2 linked regions of the Rhinolophus ferrumequinum genome follow. The protein of the gene in region 2 interacts with the protein of the main gene of each other region in a pairwise test. Links are inferred from orthologs where the notes say so. Each region holds a gene or a part of one and is shown on either strand. Other genes may lie near its edges.

Region 1 (7,791 bases), on a different chromosome or scaffold from region 2:
TGTTTCAGATGCAACCGAAAATCAACACCCTCGTGCAGAGGCACTATACTTACTTCTGTTTGGAGATTTTTCCTATAAATGATACTTTATACTCACATGGTGACTTATAGCTTAAAATGTGTTATCATTTCCATTTTTATTTGAATGTGACAACAAAGTCCAACTATGAACTATGCCTATTTCCTGACAATAAACTATGCGCCGTGTAACCTCCCGTTTCCAGAGAAGACTCACGGAGTACGAAGCACCTACCGGGTCAGCCGCTAACGGAGCTTAGTACTAAGTCAGGATCCCCGGCTGAGGCCTCGGCTCTTTATTTCCTCTCACTGTTACAAGCAGGCTCCCGTCAGCTCAGCATTTACTGAGCATGTGCACAGGCCCAGCCTGTGCGTGGCGCTGGGATTTAAATAGCTCCAGCCCCTCCCTGAGTGGAACGTGAATGCCAGTGGAGGATGCACGTGAGCCCGTTGGGCACCACACACTGCCACCGCAGCCGCGCACGCCCAGTACTCAGGGACACCTGGGGACAGACGCCGAGAGGCTTCCGAGGGGCCGGGCCTCTGGGACAGGACTTGAGGACGAATGGATTGTCCAAACAGAGCAGCACAGACCAGTGTGGACCCACATGTCACACGAGACAGGGAGGCCAGGCGTGGCTGGGTGCCTGGGTCAGGTCAGGGCCCAGGACACGTGGGGACGGGGACAGCACTCAGAAGAGCCCAGAGAGTACTGTGAGGCCTCGTGTCCCACACAGCGAGGGGCTTGGACTCCACCCCACAGAGGAGGTTGAAAGGCAAATCAAGGGGAACTAAGCATCCCGAAGATAAGATTCAACAGCTAAAAGCGCACCTCCGGCAGTGACGACAGCTGTGCCTGATTCAGTCCCCTGGTCCATGCCCACCTAACATACCTGCGAAAGACGGCAACCGAAACTGATGAGCGAAAGCGCCAGTAAGGACAGAGGCAGAAAGCACTAACTGTCACTTAAGGGCTGGGGCTCTGACTTGGTGCATCAGGAGAGGACCTGACTTCTTTAAAGAAATCTTCAGAACCCCCCACTTCCCTTTACTGGGCATGCTCTTTGGGTTAAACATCTAGGAAAAGCAGCTCTCGTGCGCGTAAGGCTGACACCTAACTCTCCCTTCTCTCCCTCTCCTGGGACCTCGGGGAGCTGCCCAAGGAAAGTCCACAGCTCCCTTCATTGCACACGTGCCCGACGCTGTTTCTGCATCTCATCTCAACACCATGGGGCAGCGGCTTTAGCGGTGGTTAAAAAGGTAACGTGCCCCCCTAAGGTCCCGGGGGGGAGGGCTAGAGGAACGGAGAGAAGCGCTCATTTCTGGAGGCCCCTTCTTCAAAGCAAAGGTGCCCATTGATCTAACCCTAAACTCTGGTGTCTGAAGTCCCTGCCCTAAAATGGTGTCTCACACCCCCACCACTGAAACAAGTGCCACACGCTGAATGGCTAGTGTGGAATTTTAAAGCTCTCGGACGGTTAGAGGCTGATGACATCGTTCGTTAAACAACGCCCCCTCCGTGGGTCTACAGCCAGGCTTGTCTAGAGGACACGGTCACCAGCAGTCAGCATCTGCCCAGGCCAGTGGGTCACACCTAATGTCCTTTTTCACTCTCAAAAGTACCCGCTTTTGAACTAGAGACCTTCGAACTCGAGTCTACCGTAGACTGGCCTTTCGGATACAACACCTCCCCCACGGGCAGCTCAGCCTGACCTAGATCTGCCTCTCCTTACTGTCCCTCTTCAAATGCAGAACTGTCATTATAAACACCGATTTATGTCCCTCTCTCCTAAAGCCTTTCACGCACGGTACAGCTTTCCAAAGCAACCCACACACACGGCCCACGGTCATCTGCATGACTAGAGGTAAAACTTTAGAAGGTGTTTCATAGTGAACCGGGGAAGGAAAAGCATAAAAGGACTCCCAAACTTTATTACAACTTTTACAAAATCCACTTTGAAACACAGCCTAGTATTTACTTCAAACGTACTCATGTCATCCCCTACCAGGTACAAACCAGTAGCCATTTTGCCGTTGTGTCTTGTGCCATTAAAACACTGCCATGGGGTGAAGGCATCACATAAAATCCACACGTCCACACACAAACCTGTGACTCCAGAACGTTGTAAAGCCCTGACCTGTGCTTTGAGACACTCCTGAAGACTCTTTTGGGATTCATAAGCCACAAAATTTGTCATCCTTTTACTCATAGCGTCACTGTCTACAGTGTGGGTGTGGAGGAGATGAAGGAAGTTCAAAAGAGGAAGATGGGAGCTATCTGCAGGCTCCCTTCGTTACACTGTATCTAACACAAGCAGATACTATTTACCCTGAAGCTCTCTGGTGTGCTTTCCACCAGGTCTCTAACATCTTTTCTTTTTAGTGTGACGCTCACTGTGGACATACATGCAACTCCCAGAGCTTCTGACCAACTTACTCAGATGCAGGAAGCATAGGCTGGAGCACCAAGCCAGAGCGCCCGCTCCCTGCCCTCAGCCAAGCAGCACCCAGGGCAAAGATGGGGGCGGAGATTCTTTGGCTTAAAAACACACCAAGTGTGTGTGTCTCTGTCTCTCTCTCTCTCTCTCTCTCTCACACACACACACACACACACACACACACACTCCTGAGCCTCTGAACACTAAATCGCCCTCCACCTTCCTCCGGAAAACAGGAAGACACAAAGCAGAGTCTGGGTTGCCACTTGTCCCAGAGGGCAGTGGAACTGTCGTCACAGGACTTCACACACTGATCAACAGAGATACTTAAACCCCACTCCACACACCCACGGCGAGACCGGACTCACCGCTCTCCTCCTCGGTTTTAAGGACCATCTTTCTCCGTCACAGCAGAACCCCAAAGGTGGCTCGGTTTTGCTCTTCAAAGGAGAACTCCGCCAAGTTTTCCTGGGAGGTAGGGCTGGGCAGGCCAGGAATACCTGAGGGCTGCCCCGCCAGGACAGCTCAGAGCTGCTTCCTGAACCCCGGGGCTGGCCGGCTGCCCTCCTGGGCCAATCAGCCTCCAGCCGCAGAAGCAGCGTCACCCGTCCACTGCCACCGCCCAGTTCCTGAGGTGAAGCCCAAGCGGCTTCCTCCTTGCCGTCTCCTCCCTCGTCCTCCCTACCAGCAGTCTTGGGCTGGACGCCAAGGAGTCTAAGAGCTGCCCTGCTGCTCTTTCCTCAGATTCAACCAAAGCCATGGGTTCCCCTCTTCCTTTCCCAAGTGCTTTCTTAGCACACAATCACTGAAAACCCCTGGGCCTCGCACAATAAGATAACATTTCCCAAGGGAAAGACTAAGATCGTAATCAGACGGTATGTTATGAGGTCACAGGCTGAAAGCAGAAGGCAGACTTGAGAGACAAAAACAAAAAATCCAAGAGCAACACTCTCCGAAGAAGTTCAATTTTACCACCATTCTATTTTCTCCCGGGCCCCACCAAGCTGTTCTTCTCTGCACACTCATTACATTCACGATACGTTTGTTGTTGAAATTAGATAACAGTAATGAGGAAAGCAAAACCAAAAACCTTAATCCTATCACCAGGGACACCCACTGATGACATTTTGGTATATATTCTTTATATTCTTCCAGACTTTTGTTCTATGTTCTACACACACATGTATCTATCTATATATGTACCTCCTGTATCTCTCCTATATAATACATATTACATATATTTCTCTCGCGATATATTTATATTATTTCAAGATAAGCATATAGATAAGTATACATACACATAAATATATATACATATACATAGACAGAAAGAACTAGATCTTTTATATGCTCTCTCTTAACCAGCTATTTTTACTCGTAACAAACATTTTCCATGACTGTAAAATGGACACCGATCGTACTTTTATTATTCACGATATGGACAGAATATGTAGCCATCCCCCTACTGTGAGACGTCCCGGAGGCTGCCGGATTCTGTGCCAACCTCTCACCCAGGTACTTCTTGGCACGTGCCTGTCACCACCTCTTCAGCAACGTCCCCAGCGGGATCCAGACACAGCCTCCCACCTGCTCGTGGGTGAGACTGAGGGGTCGGCACCTCAGCCAGTCACACGTACAGGTGACAGCAGCTGGGGTATCGTCGTGTGGCAACACTCCTGGGTGCTCCCTTTGCACCAGCCTGACAAGGCCGGGCTCCTCTAACCCTGAGAGCACCTCATGAGGCAAGTGCTATCTCCAGCGCCCGTGCCCAGATGAGGACACTGAGACGTACAGACGTCCCACAGCTTGCCCAAAGTCCCAAACCTGGCACTGACCCCGTCTGACTGCAGGGCCCACCCCCTGGTGGGGTGCAAACTCCTGCAGCAGGCTGGGGGTAGGGGGTGACCGTGCCGTCCTGGACAGGGTCCTAGTGGGGCAGAAACACCATCCACAGCGACACACCAGAGCGCAGCCTCCAGTCACATCTGAAGGTGGCCACAGGTGCCTCGAGGGCAGGACCTTGGCCACCCTTTTCCTTCTTGTCTAATAATAAATAAATATGTACATCTACATTTGTAAAAAGCACTGTTTTGTAGAGGCAACTAACATAAATCCGAAAGTCCATGTTGCAGTTACGCTTTCTCCCTCCCACCCCATCTGCAGTAAACCCCGGGATTGCCCGGCTCTGCTCCTTTTCAAGCCAAAGCTTAAAGCTTCCCTGCCGGCACCAGGGCTGATCTCCGCTGCTGCTGGTCCCCATTTGAAGAAGACAGGTCCCTTCCATCTTCTACTTACTGTCAAGTGGAAGAGCGTTTCTCCGGAACAGACGCCCTCGGGCAGAACTGCTGGCCCGGGAGGCCCGGTGCTCAGAGCTTTCCCAGATCCGGCCCAAGGCTCCCCGAGACCCCCAAAGGACACCCCTCATTTCTGCCCGTCTATGAGTGAAAATGGCTTCACAGTTGTTCAGTTTGCAGCGATCTGTGACTGAGATGCTGATATATTTTCCTAAACGTGAGGTATTTCCTCTTTTGTGAAATGCTTGATCATGTCCTTTGCCAATTTTCCGATCAGTTATCTTTTCTTACCGATTTGTGGGTCACTAACGTACATGTTGTAAATATTTCTCCCACACTCTTGTCACTTGCTTTTAGCATCAGTTGTGGTTATCTTCTGTCTTAGAGAAGAGTTCCTGTTGCAGTCAAATCTCTAATCTCATCCTCATTCGTTTCACTCAACACCTGCGTGCTGTGCGGCGTCCTGGACACACATCAGAGAAGTAGGCCTGCCCTGGCGGGGAGCTGGGGGGTGAGGGCAGGAAACAAACAAGAAGTAACGCCACGTGGAGCTGCGCGCGTGGGGGTGGGGGCGGCCAGGGTGGCTGGAGCCGAGACACAGGAGGGGAGGGCTGCCCGGGCCTTGGAGGCGATTTTAAGGACTCTGGTGTCCACTGGGGGTGAGGCGGGTAGCGGCTGCCAGGGTTCGGAATGAAGTGGAAGACCTGACTTCCTTTGTAAAGATACCACTTCGGCTGCGGGGGAAGAACAGACAGGGCAGACACAGGGAGACCGGCTGGGATGGTGGTGGCTTCCGCAGGAAGGGGTCAAACTCTCGCTCTGCCTACTTCGAAGGCAGGACCGAGGACTTGCCACACATGGGGTGTGAAGGCCGGGACAGGAGGAGGACGGGGCCTCCCAGCTCACGCAGCCGCCGGCCCCCATCACTCAGGCCACTCCCGGCCCCTCCGCTCTCTCCTCCGGGCTGCGGGCTGTGTGACTTCCCGCTCTGCTCCACTACTCACGCTGCATTCTTGCGAGGCCGCCCAGTTCACGTTCTCAAAAGAGGGACTAAATGGCTCACAGGGCCATCATCCCAGTTTGGGCACAGGGGGGCACCTCACAGACCCCAGGCCAGCCTGCAGGACAGGTTCAGTGCCAGCACCCATGAGCTGCTGGCAGAAAGGCTGCCACTTAGGCCTTAAAACTGGGAGCACGGCGGGCACTCCTGGGCCAACTCCACCCTGTCTTCTGTGTGATTTCTGTTGCTCCACAGTTAGTACAACACATAACACTGTTTGTTAAAAAGGAAGTAATGAACGAGTAACGTCTTCAATTCCTTAAAATAGAAATTTAACTACTGAAGCACCCAATTATATGTTTGACTCACTCATCAGGAAAGTGACTGCGTAACTTACCCATATGAGGACATTTCTGAGATTGAAAACTATTCAGAATGACATCAGCCAACAGGCATTAAGGGGGGCAGCCCTGGCATCACCTACCCCCTGCTGGGCACAGCACCGGTGGGAAGGACGGTGGGGCAGTTATCCAAAGGGGGGCTGTGCCCAAGTTCAAAGCACTTTGAAGAACAAGGAACAAGAGCTACAGAAGCAGAGCAGGTCCCCAGGCTGCAGAGCAGCAGCGGAGTCACGAGGCAGGAGGCAAGGGGACTGGCCCAGGCCTTGTCATCAGCACCAGACAGCTCAACAAAGCGGAAGAACACACCCGATAGCTGTTCATGTTGAAAATCACACGAGGCCGTTTGCATGCAGGGGTTTTCACCCAAGACACTTTTTATTTTCAATTAATGAAACACCTTAAATAAGCCTTGATCCTTTACTCCAGCCTCACCCCCTCTGGTGGAGGATAAGCTGAGAGCATGCGAGCAAGTAATGGTTTGAAATGACACAAGAACACTTCCATGAATATTCATGCAATATTCTAGGGAAAGGTTTTTCTCATCAGTCATAATGCCAAGGACACACAGCTGCACTCAAAGCGGGAGTCATGTCTGTCTGTAAACGTGAGGGCAGAGTTTGGGGAGACCAACAGGAGTGACGGAGCCCCCAGGGCCAGCGAGAGGGAGCAGCTTTATCAGTGCCAGGCCTGCAGGACGAGGTGGCTGCAGGGAGAGGCCACTGGTGGGAAGTCTGGTAGGGAGGGGACTGAGGACACAGCACATCCAGGGCGGCCTCCAGCAGAGGGCAGGAGGGACACGGGCAGAGATGGAGGGCACACTACAACACCCGATGCCGGAAGCCACTCCTGAAGAACTCAATGGCCCCTTCATCTGCCCGAGTCTATGCTTCTCATCACCGTTTCAAGACCTTCCTTAACCTGACCCTGCGGTCTCTCCAGGCTCATTCCTCACCACTCGTGCCTGGTGTTTTTCTTTAAGCAAAACAACACGCACACACCATATAAAAGCAAGCATTACGTAAGGCTTAAAACAGAAACCACCGTTTCCTGCCCAACTCTACCCCTCGCCCTCGAATCCTGTTCCGTAGAGGAAGCTCTTTCAGCTATTTCTTCTGCTAATTATTTCAGCATTTCTAAATAACAGGCTCACACCATCCATTCTTGAGTTTTCAGTTCTGCCATTACCCCCAACACGCACGTGCGCGCAGCCACTCAGTGTAGCTACATGTACATTTCTGGTTACATCAGGAGTTAGTGTTTCGTAAATATTGCTCACAGCGTAGCCATACCATGCGCTGTGATTAAAATGACCACAGAGGTGTTAAGTGTCTTCTTTTTTGTTTGCTTACTTCTCTTACTGATTAATCGCCAAGCTCTCCCCAAGGCGTAAAACTGCCACCATGGTCAGAACGCCGTGGATCTGTTTGCGGGACGGCCATCCATGGACTGTACCCTCACCCCCTCGCCTGAGCCTGCTTCCAACATCGTCCTGAGACGTTCCCCAGCCGCTGCCCAAAACTGGGTCCTGTTTCTGTGGTTCTGTGTTTCTTTCTTTCTTGGATCACTTGCTCATTTTGGTGGAGCACATCCTCTACTAACAGAGAAAGGGTGGGTTTTCACGCAAATTTTGTGTCTAAAAAT
Region 2 (7,846 bases):
CTTCCTCCTCCTGCAATGTTAATTCAGCTGTGGCTCCCTTTGTGGGAGGCAGGGGCTGGGAGGAGCTGTCAGAGGCAGCTGTGGGGGTGACAGGGGGGGCGGCAGGCACACTCTCCTGGGGGTGGGGGAACAGAGCAGGAAACTGCCTGCCTGTGCTAAGTTCTTTCTCACCCCATCCCCTAGCAATCCACAGAAACAGGCAGACAGCTGCCCAGCCTGGGTGATGGAGACCCCTAAGTGGAACCCAGGCCAGAGAGAAGAGATGCCTGGGGTCCCCAGCCAGACAGTCCTGAACACTGGCCCAGCGCCCCAGGCCCTCCTCCCACCCAGCCCCACTCCACAGAGCTTTTCAGTTGCCTTCCTCTTTCCGCCTTCCTTCCTCCGAGGGAGGGAGCTGAAGAGGTGGCATTCCTGCTTCCCTGACATACCCACAGAGGGGAGGCCAGGGGCAGGGGTGGCGGTAGGGGGAGGGGGCTGGCCTTTGGCCTGAGCTGGATCCCCCACGCTCATCAGAATGCAGAGGTTAACTGATAGGCTTGACCATGAGGAAAGTCACATTGAAAAGTGTGTTACAGACTGGGGACAGAAGACATGGCTTCAAGTTCAAAGGAGATTAGTAAGCAAAAAAGTTAAGCAAATATCAACTCTGGGGGAAAACCAGAAAGTTGCAGAAGGAAGATGTACTCAGAGTATGTGCTTTCTGCTTAGCAACACAGAACACTCACACAGTAAATGAGGAGAGACCTGAGCAAAATCCAACCACCACACACGCTCTCGCTCGGGAGAGGAAAGGGTTGGGTGGGATGTGGGGAGCTGTGCCTCAGCTTCCAGAACAGGAGGTGGGCCTGCCTTCCCACCCCTCCAGTCCATTCCCGCCATGCACCACGAAGGCCAGGCTGAGCTGTGGGGCCACCTAACCCTCACCCAGGTCTCGGTCACTCCTCTCTCTCCTGGAACTTATCAAATTGCCATGTCCTACTCAATCAGTGGTCTCCACCAATGCTGACCATGGGCCATCTTTGGGGATGAGAGCCCCCTGAAGTCTGAGCAGGTTGGCCCTTTCAGATGCTGGGCTAAGGGACTAGGTTTCCACTGGTGCTTTCTAGGCCCCTCTCACCCCAGGGACCTGGCTGGGGGGAGGCTGAAGGTCGAGATGGAGCTGGCACTTGGGGCCCAAGGGCGCCCTGAGGACACTGGGTCCCTTTCCTTCTCTGGACCTCAGTTTCCCTCAGCCCTCATCCCACTCTGTGTTGGGCAAAGACCCTGGCACACAGCAGGTGCCGAGAAATGAAAGACGTGAGTAATAAAAATAAGAATGAGACGCAGTCCCAGTGATCACGAACCTGTGGAAAAATCACAGCAGATTTTTTTTTTATTTTGAGGGGAAGGTCTATATGTGGCCTTACAGAGAAATTTCTTCTCATTGAATTTTCCGCTTTACCTTTTAACGTTGAACCTGGGGGAGCACTCTAATTTTCCTGCTCTGGGTTCTTTGCCTGTTGTAGATAGGAATCAAATTCTTCCCCCTTCCTTCTGGAAACGGTGCTGCTGAGGCCCTGGCCTTCTCTGAGTGTGGAGAGCAGGAAGCAGGAGGATGCCAAGGCCTCCTGGTGGGGGAGCTCGTGCCCTGCCCACCCCAGGAGAAGGTGGGTTTCTGGCAGATTGAGAGTTAGCAGGATTTTCTTACATGGCTCCCACCTCTGACCCTGGCAAGATCTGCAGAGAATGCCCACTTCACCCTCCCTCCCAGCTGGCCCGCTTGCCTCAGCCAAACCCAATTTACCAGGCTCATTCCTGAACACAGCTGTGGTGCTGTCCCCACGCACTCCCTGCTGCCCCCTCTGCCCCTCCTGAAGGGTGCAGCCCAAACGCTGTCTCCCTGGGCCCAGAGGGTGGATGGGGCTGAGCCCCTGTGCTGTGTGTGTGCTGGGTGGTCACCAGGAGGACATAATCCTTTCCACATTTCAGCAACAATGAAAACCCCAAGTTCAACAGGCTGCCTGACTCAGGGAGAGAACCCACAGGCGCAGAGAGGGGCTGGCCCCATGCTCTGCCCAGATCCTGGTCACTGCTGGCATCTCTGGGCAACGGGATCAAAGGGGTTTTAACATTGAAAATAATTTTCCCTAGTTCCCAAACCGCCTACGATGGCTGCATTTAACTTTATGATCAGCAAACTATGTTACTATAAATCAAGTTAACTAGACACAAAACCGAACCAAAGGGACCCACACCCCAGAACACCGCCCTGTGAGGAGCTGGGAGAGGGTTGCCAGGGCAGAAAAGAAACGCAGCTGAAGGATGGGCGGGGGCTCGGGGCCGCCCCCGGAGGGCGATGGCCAGATCACCTTCGGGGACAGTCCACGAGGGCTGCGCCCATCATACCGCTCTGGACAGAGCGTGTTTGGGGAACTCGCAACTTTCGCAACCTCCTTCCCAGGCCCCTACCCCCGCTCCAACCACTTCCCCCAACAGCCCCCGCGATTCGCGGCTGAGTCCGACACCTCTCTTCACCCCAAGAGTGAAGTCCCCAGTCGTTCGCGTCCGATTTCTGTCGCGTTCCTGGGCGCGAACATGGGGGACCGGCCACCTGCCGCAGAGGCGCTCAGGGTGGGCGCCTGCCGCGCTATCCCAAGGGACAAGGGGGTCTGCGCGGGATGCTGGAAATTCGCCCAGTTACGGAGATGCTCAGATGACAAAAGTCCCCATAGAAACCCAAACCGGTCGTTTAAAACCCCAGACGTCCCTGAACCAAAGCCAAAGGCTGCAGTCACCGGGCGGAGGCGACCACAGCCCAGCGGGCCAGGCCCGGCCCCCGGTCCCAGGGTCGTCAGGACCGAGACGCCTCCATCACGCCGGGTGACTGAGAGGCACAGGCCACGGGCTTCCGTCGCGGGCATCCGCTCACCTGCTCCCCGACTGGGTCCGGGAGAAGCTTCCGGCGTGACCTGGGCGCCCCTCGCGGAACCAGGCCTGGTGCAGATCCGCGGGGCTGGGCGCCTGCCTCAGTCTTCCTCCCCCGAGCGGGTGAATGGAGCCACTGCGCGCTGAGGTTCCCGCAGGTTTCAGCCGTACGCCTTGGAGTTGCCGCCTCCTTCCCACAGCCGATTCCTTCCGGAATCGCGGGAGGATCTCCCAGAGGAGAGGGGGTGCCGCTTCCCTCCCCGTGGTCCCTGGGGCAGGGAGCGTGCAGGAAGCGCTCGGGGAGAGTCTGGACGTCACCCCTGCCCGGCTCAGGCACCCGAAGGCCTGTGCGCTGCACGGTGTCCACGCTGACACCGGACACCCAATCCTGATACCCGAAGTCCCCGCCTTTGCTCCTGACCTGCACCCGGGTCCTGGAACCTGCTGAGCGCTTGCTGCCTGCAGGTGCTCCTGCCATTTCACTTGTGGACCCTCAAAGATCCGGGAGGCATCCCCCTTGTAGAGACGGGGAAACTGGCTCAGAAGTTCCCCAGGTAAAATCCAAATATTTATAAACTGGTCATATGGGAAGAATTCTCACTTTTACTTAGGTAAGTTTGAAGATAGTTTTCACTGCAGTATGTGTTCTCATGGAATGTATTCCCAGAGCAGAAAAATTACCAGGGCTGTAAATCAGAAACCACACAGTGCTGGTTAACCAACAAGACTGCATGGCCGCCACTTAACCTGCTGCGAGAAAGATGTGGCAGCATGGCATATATCAATTTTCATCCCATTTCAAAAGTCAATATTTAAACAAAGGGTATCCAAAGCCAAGACTTCATGCTGAGTGATTCAATTTTTTTCTGTAGCTGTGTGGTTGCATGAGCACTGTGAGTGTTTTCCTCGCTATGCTTTCCCTGTGTGCCAATGAACTTGCTTCCCAAGGTCTGTTCTTTCCAGTTATGCAAATGTCCCATCGTGGCATCATAGGGCTGTTACTTTAAACCCTGTTCAGAGCTGTTGAGTGAGGAAAGACGTAATTATCAGGTGAGTCCTGTGCACGATGTAAACGTGAGAACACACACACAAGTTGGTCTTTCAGTCTAGATCAAACTATATTTTCTTTGAAAGATATTCGCCAGGAAGAACACTTCTTGTGTGTGCCACCAAATAAATTCAGAAGAAAAAAAATCAGCCCCACAAAATTTGAAACGCTTTAATCAAAGTTACAAATTCCCCATATTTTCTCCAATTTCCTTCAACGTTTTTAAACATGGAAATAATTAGCCTGAAGGGGGGAAAAAAGCTTATCACTTCAATTTGAAACATCTTATACAACCCCGGCCAGAAAAATCAATGGGTTTGTTTGCATTTATGCTCTCAAATACCTAGATATTTTTTTTGGTCATACAGAGCTCACCTCAGATTTCTCCAGTGACAAGAAAATACCACACACACTTAACCTTGGTGGAGTGCCGACTATGTGACTGGCTTTTAACATATGCTAGCTCAGCCAATCCTCCCAGAGGAAGGCCTGAGAAAGTAGGCATTCATTACCCCATTTAAAAATAAGGAATAAAGGGCCGGCCCGGTGACTCAGGCGGTTCGAGCTCCATGCTCCTAACTCCGAAGGCATCCAGTTCGATTCCCACGTGGGCCAGTGGGCTCTCAACCACAAGGTTGCCAGTTCAATTCCTCGAGTCCCATAAGGGATGGTGGGCTGTGCCCCCTGCAACTAACAACGGCAACTGGACTTGGAGCTGAGCTGCTCCCGCCACAACTAAGACTGAAAGGACAACAACTTGACTTGGAAAAAAGTCCTGAAAGTACACACTGTTCCCCAATAAAGTCCCGTTCCCCTTCCCCAATAAAATCTTAAAAAAAAAAAAAAAAAGGAATAGAAAGCCAGAGAGGTTTTGATTTGACTAAAGGCATGCAGAACTCTGATTCTAATCCAATCTGTCTGACTGCAAAAGCAGGTTTCTCTTTGGCTCTTCTCTATTATCAAATTTAAAAAAAACGGTCAGAGAAGGGCTTAATGGATCGTTCCCCTTGTGTAAGTAAATACAATCTCATTTGAATTTCAGTCTCACCAAATAATGTCCTAGGCATGTTTTCTTCTGTTTCTCCTAACTTGAGCAATTAAACAGGTGTTTGATTTTTCAAGTGATCAATCAACAATAACCAATGACAGGCAGAACCGAGCAAGTTAAGATGAGCTCTCTGCAATAAGCTAACTGATCAATAAAAGACACTCTCTACGGGTGTTCTCATATTAACTCCAGAAAGTAAATAACACAGGTGGAGGAATGCACCTTAATATTCTGAAGTCTTCTTAGGTTGTTGAAGGTTAACAAATGGGTATCTGGCCAGTGTACTTGCTAAAACACGCTTCTGCACGGAAACTCTGTGCTGGGAAAGCCGGAGGTGAGGTTCCAGTTTACCTGCTGCGGATGATGGATGTTATTGAAGCAACAAGCCAGGGATTAGCCGGAGAAGACTTCTTAAATGAGCTGGAAGTTGGCATGGGCTTGAGAGAAGTTTAGCATCAGGGTAACGCAGAGGCAAGGGTCCTCTAAGAAGAGAGGATACCTAAGTGAGGATCAAGGCCTGGGATAAAATCGCAACTTTTAAATATACTTATCAAAACGCCAAGGACATCAGGATGAAACTCTCATTTCAAAGGTAATGGTTAAACGGAGTGGTTAACTAGAGTGGTTAAATGGTCTGCCAGTCACACAGCTACGACCAGGGCTTGAAGGTAAGTCTACTCGCCGGCTCTCAGTGTCACTGTGTTTCCACTCTAACAGTGGTTTCCATCCGCTGTCTAACAGGGAGGCGGGGCTCAGGAAACCTGTGGGGAGTCAGGGCAGGGGTGTTCAAACACGGCCGTCCTGCTTTTATCTCTTCTATATATTGGACTTCGGATAAGATTTATTGGAAGAAAAGAGTCTCTTTGTGTTAAAAAAACACTCTTCAAGGCTTTGTTAGTGATTGACACAGTTGAGTTCTGTGCTATGTGACACAGACATAAATATTAAAGGACAAAAAGCCTTTGTCCTCAACTAATGAACTTACTCATTCAACAGTATGGAGCGTATGCCTGTGTGCCAGGTACTTAGCTATGCATCGGAGATTGAATGGTGAGAAAAAGCTACAGGTTTGGCCTGGGGTTGGGGGGTGCCAAACCAGGACATTAACCAAAGAATGCCACAAAGAAATACAAAACCCAACTACGATATGTGGCATGAGGGAAAGTTGCAAGATGCAAGGAGAATGGATGATGAGGAAACTTCAATGTAAGGTGTCGCTGTGTTAGTAGAGGTGAAGTAACTATGTGAACCAACAACTGTGACGGCTATAAGTGCTCAGTACGTGAGGACAGGCTTTATGGTAACGGATGAGGCGGTGAGGGACTCTGCCAGAGGGGCAAGGACACCTCACAATGAAGGTGACCTTGGTGCTTCATCTAGGAAGGGGCCATAGGACACGTTCTCACAGGAAAAGGGGGGAAGGAAGGATACCTCAGACAGAGGCATTTTATGTGCAAAAGGAATAGAAATTGGGTAGAATTTCAAAAAATGACAAGTCGTCCTCAAGAATAGGGTAAAAGGTTGTTGTCTAGAAAAAAGAAATGGAGTTACAAACATACGCAAGGGCCAAGTCAGACAAGGCCTTCCCCGCTGTATTATCAGTTGAGATCTAACCGGCAGAGCCTGCCACGGTGGTGATGTGGTTTCTGAAGGCTGTAGTCAGGAGTGTGACATGATCACACTGCATTCCAGAGGACTCACACAGGAAGTCGAGCAGAAGACAGTAGAAGACAGAACAGAAACAAGAAGACTAGTGACAAAGCGACCAGTCAGAAGCTGCTACGACTTACAAGCAAAAGACAGCTAGGACTGTGGATTTCTTAGGTTTCCTAGCACATGACATTCAAAAGGCGAGTGAAATGAATGAATTAAAATGAATAGGAAATAATGTCGGCGTGCTAGTGTAGGGCAAGAATACAAAGAATCATAAAAGACAAGAAAAATGTTATGACCTGATGCTATAGGAAATAGGAAGTCACTGAAAATTTTTGATCAGAGAAGGAGGAGGAGGAGAAGTTATCCCTACCTTGCCCAAGTCACCTCCAAGCCAGTCCGGCTCCCCTGGGTCCCCGAATGGGGCCTCCCCTCCAGAAATGAGGTTGGACTCAAGCAAGGCAGGGGTTGGGGGAGAGGAGATGGTGGGGAGTAGGGCTGATAGAGCTCATTCCTGGGGCCCAGGAAGGCTCACCTGGAGCAGGGTTCAGGGGGCTGGGCGCTGCACCTGGGAGGCTGGTGGCCAACCCCCGTGACCAGACCAGGAAGGAAGGCCTGACACTGGGCACACAGATACCTGCAGGATGAGGGCCTTAAACCAGGGCCCGGCAGGGCTGGAATGCAACGGGTCTGGAGCTCCAGGTTGTCATTGGCCGTCCTGGGAGAAGCACCTCTGCTGCTCGCAGGTCTCTATCCACTCCAACATGCATCCTAGGGGTTTGGGAACCCGGAAAGCTGAGCCTGCTGCTTCACTAGGAAGTCCTGGCAGACGGCTCCAGGACCTGGCAAGAGCCACGTGGGGTGGAGGTGTTTGCACATACTGGAAGCCATCCTTCCACGTCTGTCTGCGTGGGACCCCAGACCCGGGTGCGTGGAGGTCTGTCTGCAGCTCCTGAGTGACCCGTACCTTGCACGGGCCAGCGGGGCTCTGTCGCGCAGGGTGTAAGACGGGGTCTCTGGTCCTGCTCCCACATAAGAACGTAGGACATGGTGACGCCAAAAAGGAACACCCACGGAGCCATAGATAGGGGAGTCATACCACTATAGTCTCACTGGCGGCTGGAGCCACATTATCCACAACCTGCCGTCCACTTCTCTCTGCCAACCAACCTCACTTGCTACCTGCAATCCGC

The links.
Region 1: the proteins of ITGB2 (region 2) and CYTH1 interact in a two-hybrid assay, tested with the Homo sapiens proteins (2 studies listed by BioGRID). The link is inferred for Rhinolophus ferrumequinum from reciprocal best matches to the Homo sapiens genes ITGB2 and CYTH1.

Annotation. Positions count from the first base shown.
Region 1 is NC_046304.1:52,556,555-52,564,345, forward strand, and holds the start of CYTH1 (cytohesin-1), read right to left. Parts: upstream 3,018-7,791; 5' UTR 2,852-3,017; coding exon 2,824-2,851; intron 1-2,823. UniProt on the Homo sapiens protein: Promotes guanine-nucleotide exchange on ARF1, ARF5 and ARF6. Promotes the activation of ARF factors through replacement of GDP with GTP.
Region 2 is NC_046285.1:107,941,997-107,949,842, forward strand, and holds the start of ITGB2 (integrin beta-2), read right to left. Parts: upstream 3,057-7,846; 5' UTR 2,909-3,056; intron 1-2,908.